2 linked regions of the Drosophila melanogaster genome follow. Changing the gene in region 2 together with the main gene of any one other region gives a genetic interaction. Each region holds a gene or a part of one and is shown on either strand. Other genes may lie near its edges.

Region 1 (7,518 bases), on a different chromosome or scaffold from region 2:
ATTAAATGCAGAAAGTAGCGCAGTCCACTGGCAGTGTAATCTGGCAGCTGAATCTCGCCTTGGTGACCCTCGCGGAAATCACTGTTGAGCATCTTGTTGAACACTTCGCTGGTGTCGCAGAGCAGCTGCTTATTAAACCCAATGGAGGTGGAATCCGCTCCATGACCAACGAGGAATCGCATGTCGCAGTTGGCGTGCAGCGGTGCGGTATCATTTGCAATTTGGTTGCAGATTCCTGCTGTACTCTCCGCTGGTTCGGCTTCTGGCATAACGATGCCCAGGGTATATCGCGCCATCGATGTCACCGCATCCGCCGCCTCATCTGCGTAGTGGTCCTCGGTCTTCTTGCGCAGCATCATGTCGAATAGCATATTCAGCGCATTGCCGTCGTACAGGAACTGATAGAGCAATCGATGGCTTTTAACTATGTAGGCCACCGAAATGGCGGCTCTCTGTTGGGATATCACATCGTCGCAGCGCAGGAGACGCACTAGCTCCTCCTTGCCATAATTCGATTCTCCCACATTGGTTAACGTCTCCAAGAAGGCGAAGCCGTCTTTGCGAATCTGAAATATACGTGCGGTGTTAACTGTGATGAACATTAGATGAATGGGCTCACTTTACCTCCTTCAGCTTGGTAAACTGGTACAGTTGATGGACCACGCCATGCTTTATTATCTGGGCAAAGAACTGGCTCTCACTGAAAGGATATACGTGCAATTAGAATACATGCTTATCCTTAGTTCAGCTTGACAACTTACAGTAGAATATTTGTCAGGGCATTTGGGAAATTATTGTTCGATCCAAACAATTTGATGGCTCTAATCAGAGTGTCGAGCGTCTCTGGCTTTCCCAGCTCCACTCGCTTGTTCACCATCAGCGTGATGCGATAGATAAGGTTTTCTATTATGTCAATGGTGTTGCATGTTGTATTGCGGAACGGGGCTAGTTTCGGTGGTACATCCGAGCTCAGTTCCTCGAGATCCTCTTTGTCGGACAGCGGATCATCTATGGGTTCGCTGCCCTCCTCAATTAGTTTCAGTATATCCAGAACATTCGAAGGCTGCGAACGATTGGCGGCTATGCGCCGCTCTCTTGTGTCCAAATTGCTATTATTTGTGCTGTCATCCTCATCTTCGTCGTCATCACTGCACGCCGGAGAATAGTTGTCGTCGTCATCATTCGTCAGCAGATCTGTGCACACCGGTGACATGCTGCGCGAACTGCAGGGACTGGTTGTGCGATAAGACCTAGGTGAACTGCTCGGCGATTCAAAGTCCGATCCTAAGGTCTCGTGGGTTTTTGAGAACTTGTGTGCAAAAAGTGGGTATAATTAGCAAGTGGCTTGTAAACATATGCTAGCTGCTATGCTGCTAAATAAATACCTTGCTCAGCGTCTCTGGCGTTGTGGGATCCGTCAGTTTTCTTTTTTTACCACCTTGCAGTCTCTCGTCTCGTCGACGTTTGTGATGCTCATCATCGCTGGTCAGGTAATCGTTTAGTTCCCGCACCAACATGGGCATTAGTCCTTCATACAGCATGAGTTCCATGCTTAAGTTATCATATTGGAAGTTGTAAAGTATGTGAAATAGCTGTTGGGTATGAAGAAAGCCATTATATATAGCAGATGTCAAGAGGGATTTGGTTTCCATCTCACCGATGATCGCTCGCTCTGCGAGTTGGAGTCCCGGATCATGGCCACCAGCTTGCGCAGTGCCCCACATCTCCGGATCTTCGAGCGGCTGCAGGCATCGGTGGATAGCGTCAAGATTATGTTGATGCAGTGCCGGCTCTCGCTTTCGCTAAGTGGCTTTGCCATGTTCACAGCCATGAGCATCTCGCAGGCAGCCACAATGGCATCCGCAGTGCTCAGCATGTAGAAGGCGAAGGGATCCTTGCAGAAGTTAGAGAGGATTTTAAGGGCAGAGGCCCGTTGGTCGCCGTCCTCCTTTACGAAGCACACAATGGAGGCGAGCGAGGTATTCCAGGAAATGGACTAACAAGAAATGTTTATTATGTACTACGTTTTGGAGAACTTAGAAAACAGTCTCACCTCCCAAACTTTCAGTCCAATTTGCTGCGCGGATATCAGGACCAGACACTTCAGAATCTCGAGGGCCAGCTCAACGGCCGCTTCATTTTCCTTGGGCAGCGCATAGTCACAGTTCCTTGTGGAATTCTTGAGCATCTGGTGGTCAAAGATGTCACTGCGAACACCCTCCAAATTCCGGGCTACCTCCTCGAAATACTTCTCACGGTGCTGGTTCCTCTTCAGGCCAATCAGCGTGGACATCTCGATGTCCGGAACGGGCTCCTTGGATGCCTCTTCGTTCTTCATCACGGCCAGAAAAATTCGCATCAGCTGCTGGAACCCATTGGCCATGAGGAAGTACTTCAGGAACTGGCTGCTGGCCAGAAGGAAACGGCAGACGCGGAATGCCATGATGCGGGTCTGCACCGCACTGGTGGACTCAATGATGTGGCAGATGGCCGGTGCAATGGCCGCATAGTGCACTGTGAGACACTGGGACGCCTTCTTGCTCTTGGCGATGTTTCCAAGCATCCGGCAGGCGCGGCACTGGATCAGGGGATTAGGTATGGTCTTCAGAATGGTCACCAGCGGGTGAATCACCTTGCATTCAACAGCCTTAAAGTGGAAAGTTTTAAATTTTTTTAACCGTTGTGGTTCAAAATAAAGATAAAAATGTAATCTGATAATCCCACCTCAATGCAGGACTGTTCGTCGGTGCAGCAGTTCCCCAGTATGCTCAGTACCACCTCCATTATCTTTTCATTCAGCTTGGTGATCAGTCGCACCTGGAAGACGCAATTAATAATGATTTAAAAATCGATTCGAATAACGATCCTATGTGAGCGGCAGTGGCTGTCAAACCACCATGAGCGTTGTGACTCCCAAACCCACCATGATGTGAACGCCCCCAGCAGTGCGAAATAAAACAATGCCATTTTTATCCTTCACCAGATCGGTGCGCAGCTTCACCAGGCATTTGTAAATGACTGTTCGATCCGTGGAGGTCTTTAGCACTTCCAGCATGCTCTCCACTTGCTCTGGTGTCCAGAACATTGGTAATTTTCTTAATTTTTAAACAAATTGAAACAATTCAACAAATTCTACAGTGCGTCTCAAACCTCTTTGAGAGTGTGACCGTGCATAAGAGCGTATTTTACGGTATTTTACGTTATTTTTCGAAAATCCAGCAGCGGTCTGCCTTATTTATAAACTGATGTTTACGTTTTAGCTTTGGATGCGAATTCGATTCTACAATAATAAATGGAAGCAGGCCTGTTTTTTATGTAGATTATACAAGTTCCCACAAAATTACCTCCAAGCTTTTAATTTCAAATTATTTTAATATTTTTTAAAACCCATTTAATAATTTTTCCTATATTTATTTACTTTCTTTGTTTACCGTAATCGTGACACGAGGGCTGAAGTGTCATCACCAAATCAGGCGCTATTTGGTGTTTTTCAACTGCCAACAACGGTCTTACAGAATTAAAGACAAAAACGCAATCGACTAAAGTAATTAGTTAATAACTAGCTGTCTTTGTTGCGCGTAAACACGGACTTTCCCCAGAACGAAGCTAATTTGCCCAAGTCGTGCATCCAAGCTTTTCACAGATTTGGAAAAACCTGTTTCGCAGTGCTTGTGACTCATCAGTTTTCGCAGGCTCAAGGAGAGAACTTAGCCATGGACGCCACTAACAATGGAGAATCCGCCGACCAGGTGGGCATCAGGGTGGGCAATCCGGAGCAGCCCAACGATCACACAGATGCCCTGGGCTCCGTGGGATCCGGAGGAGCGGGTAGCAGCGGCCTGGTCGCAGGATCCTCGCATCCTTACGGCAGCGGAGCCATTGGGCAGCTGGCCAACGGGTACAGCTCACCCTCGTCCAGCTACCGTAAGAATGTAGCCAAAATGGTCACCGACCGCCATGCAGCCGAGTACAACATGCGCCACAAGAACCGCGGAATGGCACTGATCTTCAACCATGAGCACTTCGAGGTGCCCACCTTGAAGTCTCGCGCGGGAACCAATGTGGACTGCGAGAATCTGACTCGGGTGCTCAAGCAGCTGGACTTCGAAGTGACCGTGTACAAGGACTGCCGCTACAAGGACATTTTGAGGACAATCGAGTATGCAGCGTCGCAGAATCACAGCGATAGTGATTGCATCCTGGTCGCCATCCTGTCGCACGGCGAGATGGGCTACATCTACGCCAAGGACACACAGTACAAGCTGGATAACATCTGGAGCTTCTTCACGGCCAATCACTGCCCCTCGCTAGCCGGCAAACCCAAGTTGTTCTTCATACAGGCCTGCCAGGGCGACAGATTGGATGGCGGAGTGACCATGCAGCGTTCTCAGACGGAAACCGATGGCGACTCCTCGATGAGCTACAAGATTCCAGTGCACGCCGACTTTCTGATCGCCTACTCGACGGTTCCTGGATTCTATTCGTGGCGCAACACCACCCGCGGCAGCTGGTTCATGCAGAGCCTGTGCGCCGAACTGGCGGCCAATGGCAAGCGGCTGGACATCCTGACCCTGCTCACATTCGTGTGCCAGCGGGTGGCCGTGGACTTTGAGTCCTGCACCCCGGACACTCCGGAGATGCACCAGCAGAAGCAGATACCCTGCATAACCACCATGCTGACGCGCATTCTGCGTTTCAGCGACAAGCAGTTGGCACCAGCCGGACGGGTTTGATGGCTAATGGTATGGATCAAACGGTGGGTACGGCGAGGTGTGTGATAAACCAAGTCGCAATTAAGTTAGAACCTCATGGGCTATCGGCCTTGCAGCATATTTTTTATACAACACTTTTTTAACCTGCCCAATTGCTCGACGAGATTGGTGCCACTGCCCGTTTTATTTTATTTAGGCACAAAGTATCTTTCGATTGACATTTATTAATGTCGCATTTACTCGTCTGTATTTATATTTTTTGGGGTGGGTAGAGTAGATCGATTTAACTTAGAAATCTAAGAGGTTTTTACTCCGGCCAAAATTTTTTGACAATTTTAACTTGCCAACTGAACAAAGACGATCTCAAAATTTTAAATTCTCTACTAAACCTTATCATAGAACAACTTGCGCCTCTTTGATTCTCGATCAGGAATGTCGGCCCACCCTTATCTATATCTACCTTAGACCATTTACAGACAAGACCTTTTTACAATTTTATACACATAGATATCTTTATAGTATAAGCCTGTGTGTCATGGTCGTCCAAAACGAAAACAAACGATTTTAGCCTGTAGTCGAGTGTTTTATGAACAATATATACTATTTCTATGCCATTTGTACTCTTATATAATGCACATTAGCAAATGTTCTCCTTTCAAGTTAACCGCTAATAAATCCGATTGAAAACAATGAGAAATCAATGACCATTGGCTGTTTGCTGTTGACCCTGTCGCCTCTTTTGGGCGCCAAGTTGAGCGGCATTTCCCGAAAAGGTAGCACGCGGAGACGGAAAAATAGACGAGTCCAGCCATTGGCTGACCCTGATCGTACGATTTCAGAGCTTACAATCACTTTATTCTTAGAGCTGGACACAACGAGAATAAATTCCAATTTATAGTTCACTTAAAGCACACGGGTATGGGTTGAATTCAGAGAAATTTAAAGCCTGTCAGCAAATCCGACTCTCCGGCTAGATAAATGCACGTTTCTGATAACTTTCGACTAATTAAAAACGTAGAATATGCGCTCACAATTTTCTAGTTGAGGAACATCTAGATGTGGCCGCCCTCCTTTAGCTTGGCCACCAGGGCATCCACGTCGGCGACGGTGGCGCCGGCCTGGCGCACAGGAGGATCCTCCACGGAGATGACCTCGATGCGGGGCGAGGTGTCCACGCCGAGATCCTTGGCCGTAACCTTCTTCAGCGGCTTCTTCTTGGCCTTCATGATGTTCGGCAACGTGGCGTAGCGAGGGGTGTTCAGCCGGAGATCGGCGCTCAGCACAGCCGGGGTCTTGGTCTTGATTGTCTCCAGGCCACCATCAATTTCACGCGTGATGGTCAGACCGGCGTCTGTCTTCTCGATCTTGTTGCAGAAGGTGCCCTGCGGCCAGTCGAGCACGGCGGCGGTCATCTGGGCCGTTTGGTTGGCATCATCGTCGATGGCCTGCTTGCCAAGGATGACCAGGTCGGCTTTTTCGTCAAGAGCCAACTTGGCCAGAATCTTCGACACGTGGATGGGCTGCAGAAGCTCGTACTCGGCGGCCGGGATCTCTACGTGGACGCCGCGATCGGCGCCCATGGCCAGGGCGGTGCGGATCACCTCCTGCGACTGGGCCGGGCCCACGGAGACGGCGATCACCTCCTCGGCCAGCTTTTTCTCCTTCAGCTTCACCGCCTCCTCCACGGCGATCTCGTCGAAGGGATTCATCGAGTGCTTCACGCCCTGGGTGACCACGCCAGTCTTGTCGGGCTTGACGCGCACCTGGACATGATAAATGTAACCTGAATTAGTTTAATTGCCGCTTAATTAAGGCGATTACGCAAAACAGAGCGCAACAAGTGATAAAAAGACAATGGGACAAGATGCGCAACAGGCGACTTTTCAGGCTCACCTTGACGGCGTAGTCGATCACACGCTTAACTCCAACCAAAACACGCGCCATTTTCTGCCAAATTAGTTATAAAATTGATGAAATTTACGGAAATTTACTGAGTTTCAAGAACTTACCTCTTCAAGATGGAAATGAACTGATTTGTTGGCGGCGGGGGCGCGGGTGGTCCAAAGGTCTTCTCCGGCTACAGCGTTGCCAGACAGAGCAGCCGATTATTTGCAGCTATAAAATGTCCAAATATTCCCGCTGAAATACATTTTTAAATTCATGTATCTTAAAGGACTAACAACTTTAAGCAAAACTAGGAAACATAATTTCTGAAACTGTGGAGTTGATGAATTACGAATTCAACTATTTACGGGGGAGTAGCTAAACTTTGTGCTTTTCGCTCCTCTCTAGCCGCCAACAGCTGTTCTACTTTCACCGCAATCACTTCTCTGCAGCGACGAAAACATCTCATTCCAATCTTGAAAAGATCTCCCGCATCCTTGTCCCATACAAATAAAATAACGATGGCTGCAACTGCTCCGGTAATTATGCGCGTCATGGCGTCCTCGATCAGCACCGCCAAGCGGGCTGGCGGCATCATACGCGACGTGCTCAAGAAGGGTGACCTGGGCATAGTGGACAAGGGCAAGAACGATCCGCAGACGGAGGCAGATCGCTCTGCCCAGCGTTGCATTATCGCCTCCTTGGCCAAAAAGTTCCCCACCGTCAAGATCATTGGCGAGGAGGGTGGATCCGATCTGAATGTCTGCGACGACTGGCTGGTGAACGAGTTGGATGAGGAATTCCTGCAGCACAGTTGCCCCGCTGAGTGGAAGGATGTCAAGCCCGAGGACTTTGTCATATGGGTAGATCCCCTAGACGGCACAGCGGAGTATACACAGGGTGCGATCTGGAGATACCTGTA
Region 2 (7,632 bases):
TTAAAGTGTAAACTTTAAACTTTAAGATATATTGTAAACTTAAAGATACTTTAAAAATATTTCTAACTTACAATATCTTTTTAAGTTTTTATGGTTTTTTTTATATAAATATTCTCCGCGTAAAAACAGACGGTTTGACTCTACTTCTAATAACACTGAAATATATATTAGATATAATATCTAACCTGGTTGATTCACATTCTCCATAGGGCCCAACTGCTGGCCAGCAGAGTTATTGGTCACTAGACGTGACCATGGCACTTGGCTTGGAAAACAGTTGGCAATTCTATCAAGAAACCCGGTACTTGGGGGAGAACTTACCACTAGCCGACGCCAAGTACCAACTATCAGGAGATAGTACCAATCCCTTGGCGAGTCTGGTACCTGATGGTAAATAAACGGAATGGTCGAAGAAACAATTGAATCGTTTAAGTAGAACATCACAATCAGAGAAGAAACAGGGGCAGAGCAGCTGGCGTGCCAATCAAACAATGTGCTCATGTAGATAAATGTGGCATTTAATGCCGAGAATTTAATTTGATTTGAACACGAGCCAGATAAATTTAGTGTTGGATGTCACTTCGTTCGTTCCCACGCCGCATCAATGCGCAAAAACATAAGTTTGTTAGGACATTACAACAATTTAGTTTATTTCTGCGACTGACTCATTAGTGGCGGTTGATGAAATGAGATTTTAACATAAATTGCTGTTGGCTTTCGCTACAAATTGTTTTCCTTTGCCCTATAATAATTGATCACTTTAATAACAGGTGAATTGTACTACAAACAACATTAATTTCATGTAGGAAAACCAATTAAACTAATTGAAAGTTAGTAAACTATAATAATGAAAGGTAAAGTTATTTTTAAGAATATACAAATTAAGTTCAGACACTATAAAAAAGTCTTCGATTATACGTATATAAATTATTATTTATTTTTATTAAATTTTCGAATTTTAAATTTTAGCGCATTTGTATAAGCCTATCAATATATCGATTGTTCAGTATAAGCTTAATAATAATCGGTCCTTCTCTATAATTCTAACATCTGACTATCATCAGCTGTTTTTGTTATGATTTTTCTTGACTAATTACAAATAATTTTTAAAATGACAGAATAACTTGAAAACTAAAAGAATAACTAATAATAATAATTCAACTAGAAAATATAAAGAAAAAAAAACAATTAAGCAGAAATGTCCAAGTTACCAAAAGCATCACTTAGTTTGAAGCAGGTAAGCAGGTTTAAATCATTTTTATGGTTTTCCAAATATATTAATAAAACTAACAATAATTGAATGAATTGATTACATTGTAGTTTATGCTGCGCCAGGAAGTACTGAAGCTCTACCGGGAAATATTTCGAACGATTCGTCAGGTTCCCGACAAAAACAGCCAGCTGGAGCTAAAATCCTGGGCACGGCATGACTTCCAGACGAATCGCCATCAAAGTGACGAGGTGGCCATCAAGATGCTCCTTCAGCACGGCAGACGCAGCCTCACAGAACTAAGGACCAGCCTCCAACTGAGCGGGGTGAGCGAGGGCAAATAGGATCAGTCTTGAACATAAATCTTAGCTTAATTTGATTTTATTTTTGAGCTCGACAACCGTACGAAAATAAATACGAGTTAAGACTAAGGACTATGACAAAAAGCTATCGAATCTTTGAGGTGCTACAATTCGCTGTGTTTTTGTGTGTTTCGTGAAGGTGAAATAGCAGTCTAGCGTCTTTGCAGGGAGTTGAACTCCCAGGATCCATTTCAGTTTTCCATTTCAGTTCTTAAAGCAGGGGTCGCAGAAAACTCAACCAGGCCACCTTAAGCAGGGCCAGTGCAAAGAGAAGGGAACCCACGCTGGTGATTATCAACGAGATGATATCTCTCTTGGCATGCTGATCCACTCTGCCCACCAAGAAGCTGTGTATCACGGTGCTGGTAATGTGGGCGCCATCGAAACCAAAGCAGGGAATGGCATTGATCAACGCCAATCCTATGCTGAAGACCACGTTATACTTGAGGAGCAGCAGCCAGGCATCCGGCCAGGCTGCCTTTAATAAGCTATATCTCGGCACAAAGGCGGATACCTCCACAGTTCGAGTGACATCCCATGGATGGCCCACATAGATCACCGGCGGCAGCTTCTCTCCGCGAAAATTCTGTCGCTTGAACGTCATTATGGCAGTGATATTTCGTATAAGCGGTCGTAGGCAGAATCCCTCGTTGCAAACTCCGGACGAGCAGTGCTCGGAGACCTCCTCCAAAGTGCGGCGCACATTGAGACATACATGCTGCGGCAGCTCCACCGGCACATCTCCATTTGCGTCCTCCACCACCTCGAAGCAGCTTACGTTCGGATTTAGTTCATCACAGCACTGTAGCTGACCATCAATGCTATGATGTGAGATGGCGCTGCTTTCGTCGTTAAGCTGCACGAAGTCCGCACTCACACAGTAGCCCGGCTTGAGCTTCAGAGAGTTCTGCAGGCATGTCACCCAACTCTCCTCGCTGTTTACTGGGCAGCCGTTTACTTGGGTTATTTGATTGTCCACTTGCAAGCCGCGCTCTCCCCTCAGCGGGGATTTCCTTGTTAGTTCAGTGACCACTACGTGTTGGTTGTAAGCGTACAAAGGTGACATAGTGATTCCCACCGTTGAGATTAAGAGATAGCACACGCCAGCGAACACAAAATTATGCCAGATTCCAGCGCACAGAACACGTAGCTTGCGGAACCAACGTAGACTGTTTAAGTGGTCGTGGGAGAGCTCCGTGTATGCTAACGGCAGGCAGAAGATGAACTGAAATATTAATATTTACCTAATTAGTAAGCGTATTAGGTTGTAAAGTACGCTATATCATTCTAACCTTTATTCCAAACCCGGTGACAGGCACATCCTCCATCACAGCGGCCAGGGCGTGTCCCATCTCGTGCACCACCAAGCAGAGCACAAGGGTTGTGATGTAGTATCCGATCTCCTCCAACGGCAAGTTGACGCCGGGCAGTAGAATTTCCAGCTGCACAGGGACTCCAACGGGCGAGGATACAGACGAAGAGCTGTCTTGTTCACCACTGCTGAAGATAGTGGCAATGAGCAGGATCAGACCGATCGGGAGCAGAGAAAAGGTGACCAGGACTCCTACATTAAAGCTGGTGATCATTACTCTCCGGGTGCAGCTGTTACCGGCAGATCCCCAGCGTAGGAGGGTCCTGTTAAAGGCACTCGTGTGCCAGTGGAGGCTCATGAAATTTATACTCAGCCCGGTGTTCTTGAGGAAGGCATCGTACGGGTAGTGCATGCAACTCTAAGGGATTACATTAAGTATCTGGACGTACTTTGGCTGGATATACTACACCTTGAAGAAGCGGTCGAAAAAGTAAAGAACGCCATAAAGCGATGCCAGTACTATGAAGAACACGAAGGGATCCATGGCTGGTGAGGTCTCAAGATGTCATTGGTTTGTTGGGATTAGGATGGTGATGCGGATTCTACAGTTGGGGGTCCTCCGGTTGCTGGACGTCACTTGCGAATGCTAGTAGTCCCTACCGGACGGGATTCCTTCCCGAAATCTTACTCCTCTGGTCCCGACTCCTTATACCAGCAATGCTGTGTAGTCCAGACCAGAAATCAGCATTAATCACGTCTGGGAATCTTGTGCGCAAATTAACCTGCGTAAAAAATCGAAATACCAAAAGCTAATCGCAATCGATTGCAGAACTTATCGATGGCCGCTTTATCAATAATACCGATAAGCAAGCTTATTTGGGCGCGAAAGTTTTGAACATTTTCAACTATTCAACGTCAAACAAAGAAAACTGTTGAACAACTCAAAAACAACAATTAAAATTTTTTTATGAAAATGATTTGCTTTCAATATAAAAAAATTCAAAATCCATTGTGTTAAGTGACTTAAAATACATCAAACACATGAGCGAACAGGAATTCTCATATAAGAGACTTTTGCCGACTTGCAGGCTGATCGTCTCCATTATGGCCTGCGTATCCTGTATATCGGGCGTGGCTGCCGGCTATCTTTTCATGACCAGTTTATCAGGTGTCTCTGAAGCGGTAAAGATTGTGTGGACCACCGGATCGGCTCTCTATGCATTATCCTCGCTCCTGTTGATTATTGCAGTTTGGAAGGTTAACCTGAAGCAAAATTAATTGAGGAAATATTCTTAAGAATCCTGTGATTTTGCAGTTCATTAAATGGCTGGCCTATCCATACATGTGCATGCTGCTCATGGCCATTGCCGTCTACACGATGATCCTGCAGTGGCTACTCAAGAACCTACCGGCTGCCGTTTTCTCATCTGTGGCCATCAGCTTTATATTTCTTGGAGTGGCGTTGAACATGACCAAAAGCCTGGAAGAACTACGCACTTCTCTATAGAGCAATGCAAAGTGTTCTCGTTTAGTTTTGGATTTATATTATAAATTTGCCGTGCAGTAATCAAGAGCAACGAATACACCTACTTTGATTAAAATTGAAAAATTATAGGTATATGAAAATCTAGCATGAGAAATTGTAAAGTTACATTTGTTAAATTTGTGTGACTTTAATTCGTAAGGCAATTCGTAATTCATTCATCAGCTGTTTTCAGAAATAAAAGTAGGTGGTTCTGGCAACAGGCGGCCAAAAGAACCTAGCAAAACAAAACGGATGAAAACCAATGGAAAGGAAGAGAGGACCTCTTACTCTTGTTTTTCCTTTTTCCATGCCGAAACTCACCACCACCAAGTTCACCTTAACTGAGTTGGGTTTTCAATGGACCTCCAGAGGACATGAGTATCATCAGTTTAGTCGTGAGCTTGAGCAGCAGCAGAACAGTCGCATCCGCCAAAAAGGGCAACAAACGAAGAGTACTCACGAAAAATAAAAAGGCTTTTGCAAAGGGTTTTCCCAATCAGAGAAAGTGTTCAATAGCTTCAGGCGTATTTTTAACCAATTTAACTCACTGGAAGGATCCAATTCGTTCGATTGTGATTGAGTAAGCTAAGAACAAAGGACTTCAGCTGGAATCTCGCCCCATATCGATTTGTTCCAAAAACTGCATATTCGCCAGCGAGTGAGTGAGAGAGTGCGCTTGTGCCGAAAACGGATACGGAAGGGGGCGACAAGGAAGCGGAAGCGGAAACAGCTGCTGCATAAACAATAGTAACAGGGAATACTGTGTGTCACATCAACGCATCATGACGCCAGAGCAGCAAGGATATTGCCCCTAGGAAAACCCATACAAGTTCCTCAAGGAAGCCCTCAAGAAAAAGCGAACGAAAATCGCAATCGATTCGGAGAACAAACCATCAAGACGAACCCGCAAAGGATTCAGTGCCAAAGGAGCCGTTCCGGCAGAAGCAGCAGTAGCAAGAGAGTATTTATTTTGGGCCAACCGGTGAAGGCCCGCGAACGTCAGCTCTTCAGGACTTTAAGGACCCAAAGCAGAGGCAACCCAATGCATTTGGGTGCACAACAACAACGCCCCAAGCAACAACAACAACAGCGCGAGCAACAAGAGAAACATCAAAGGCGTTTCACGTTCAGTAAAGGACGGCAATGTCGTCCCTACAGCGTGACTGGCATTTACAGGTGAGTAGTACTACCCAGCATCCCATTATCCTTACTTTGGGAAGGTCAGGAACCATCCCCCTTGATTCCTCCTCGCTGCCTTTTCTGGGGAGTGGGCCAATGGCAATCGTATTGAGGTAGCTGGAGTTTGGGTTCCTCTGGTGAGCATGCGCACTGGACCAGAGAGTGTTTTACGAGTACGTAAACATTGCAAGCGACAGGAGAATGGGTCAACGTCACAAGTTGCATCCATCTTAGTCGCTTTAGAAGAACGGGGACAAGAAAGTAAACAATACATGCCCCGACTGCTGATGGAAAGACCGAAAACCACAAGCCAAAGTTCAGTCGTGGCATGGTGTTGACCTTTAATGACACCTATTAAATCGAATAGAAGTGTTCATTTCTACTAGTTTTGACACAAATGAAAAGTAACTTTTTATTATGCTTATAATTATACTTACACTTACAATCGTTGATTTTGTAAACACTTAAAACATGAATTTTGAGCCAAATTTAAGTAGGTGTTTACACTCGCATATGGGAGTACAGCATCCCTACACTTAAGCATCAATGTCCTGCTGATTGGGTGAACTAATTGGCCTAGGCCTGTGCAACCTAATATCTATTATTACGGAGGGCTAGCAATTACGGGTGGCTCAACAAGTTGTGCGTCAAGTCCTCCCCACTAGATTCCCTCCCCGACTAGATACCACCCTCGACCAGCCGACTTGAGGCCACCCCTTTCACCTTGACCGCTTATCGTTCAGGCCCACACACGAGCGCCAACTAACTTGGCCCGGGGGAAGGTTCTTCCGTTTCATTAAGCGCTGGCAAAGGCCTTGAAATGTTGGGAAATTGAAAACAACCAGCGATTGCAGAGCTGCCCCAGCGAAAGCTTCCTGACAGCTTAAGCCGGATTCCAGCTGACAGCAGAGGGTGGTCTTGGGGGTTCTTGGCGTCCAGGATATCGTATACCATCGCATGCCACGGCGACGTGGGCCTTTGACATTCGACAAGGTCACTGGCTCTAGGATGCTGTGACTCATGCTCTTGAGGGGGAGTTGCCAAATGCCAAGAGTTGGCCAACGCTCATTAGTCGTGTCAGATGTGTGACTGCATTTTGCACTCGTTCAAGAATATTGCATGCCATCTATTTGGCATATTTCTACCATCAATATGGCTGACAGTTCATAAGCGGCACGAAGTTCGACAAATGACATGCCACGTAAACAAAAGACAAATTTATTAAATTTACTTTCAAAGTTAGAATTCAATTATATAAATTTACTTGGCTTTATTAAGCATAAGTGATGTTATGATTTGTTACATTTACCATGCAATATTTATTCGTTATAATAATTATTGATTATTTGCTCATTAAGAACTGACATGCTTAGATAGGATACTTAAGTAAAAGCAAATAAAAAGGTTGACTAAGGATAGAGCGCTTCACCTAATATATTGTGCATAGGTTTAACCAGCGTTGGGCACCAATCCTTCTTTCTAATGGGCACACACGTCGCATACTTGATATTTGATGCCAGCAATGTATCATATTTCGTATACGTACGTCATTGGAAGTACCAAGAAATAGGTGGGAGCGGGACAACTAAGTGCGAAATAAGAAGCTATTAGGAAATGAGTTATTACGAACTGTTGGTTATAACAATAAGATTGCGACAGCACATAAATATTAAGGGGGCAGGTGTTGAAATCTAATTAGGAATAGTTCAATATGAGGTAAAAATATTAACTGTGCACATATAACATAAAGTTTTAAATGTATATATTAGTTAGTATGTATAGTTGAGCTGTTGGCATGGCTGTAAACCCAATAATACCTTACATCAACTTACCGAATTTCGTTTTTGACTGCTTTCCAATTGTGTCCTTTCTACGAGGGCTTGGCAAAGATTGGCGTCTTATCAGCACGGGTATATTTCCTGGCATTAGCCTTCGGTTCGAGCATTGCATCGTCCTTGGATTGGAGCAAACACCCACCACTGCTCCTTTGGGGCCAATCGAACCCCCCATCAATTTCCGGCAACAAAGACAGAAACTAAAAAAG

Evidence for each region.
Region 1: of S2P (region 2) and Drice, changing one suppresses a phenotype caused by changing the other (phenotypic suppression), as found in Drosophila melanogaster (one study listed by BioGRID).

What each region holds. Positions count from the first base shown.
Region 1 is NT_033777.3:29,796,185-29,803,702, forward strand, and holds Drice (death related ICE-like caspase), read left to right. Parts: upstream 1-3,473; 5' UTR 3,474-3,713; coding exon 3,714-4,733; 3' UTR 4,734-5,400; downstream 5,401-7,518. Other genes in the region: Rnb (R and B), read right to left, coding at 1-566, 625-700, 762-1,309, 1,386-1,592, 1,658-1,996, 2,054-2,647, 2,725-2,817, 2,924-3,085; Etfb (electron transfer flavoprotein beta subunit), read right to left, coding at 5,765-6,475, 6,606-6,656; CG7789 (uncharacterized protein), read left to right, coding at 7,118-7,496.
Region 2 is NT_033778.4:11,840,526-11,848,157, forward strand, and holds S2P (site-2 protease), read right to left. Parts: upstream 3,716-7,632; 5' UTR 3,429-3,715; coding exon 3,354-3,428; intron 3,303-3,353; coding exon 2,865-3,302; intron 2,798-2,864; coding exon 1,784-2,797; 3' UTR 1,578-1,783; downstream 1-1,577. Other genes in the region: CG34229 (uncharacterized protein), read left to right, coding at 1,199-1,237, 1,321-1,554; CG43190 (uncharacterized protein), read left to right, coding at 3,989-4,141, 4,200-4,391; Sln (silnoon), read left to right, coding at 5,553-5,585.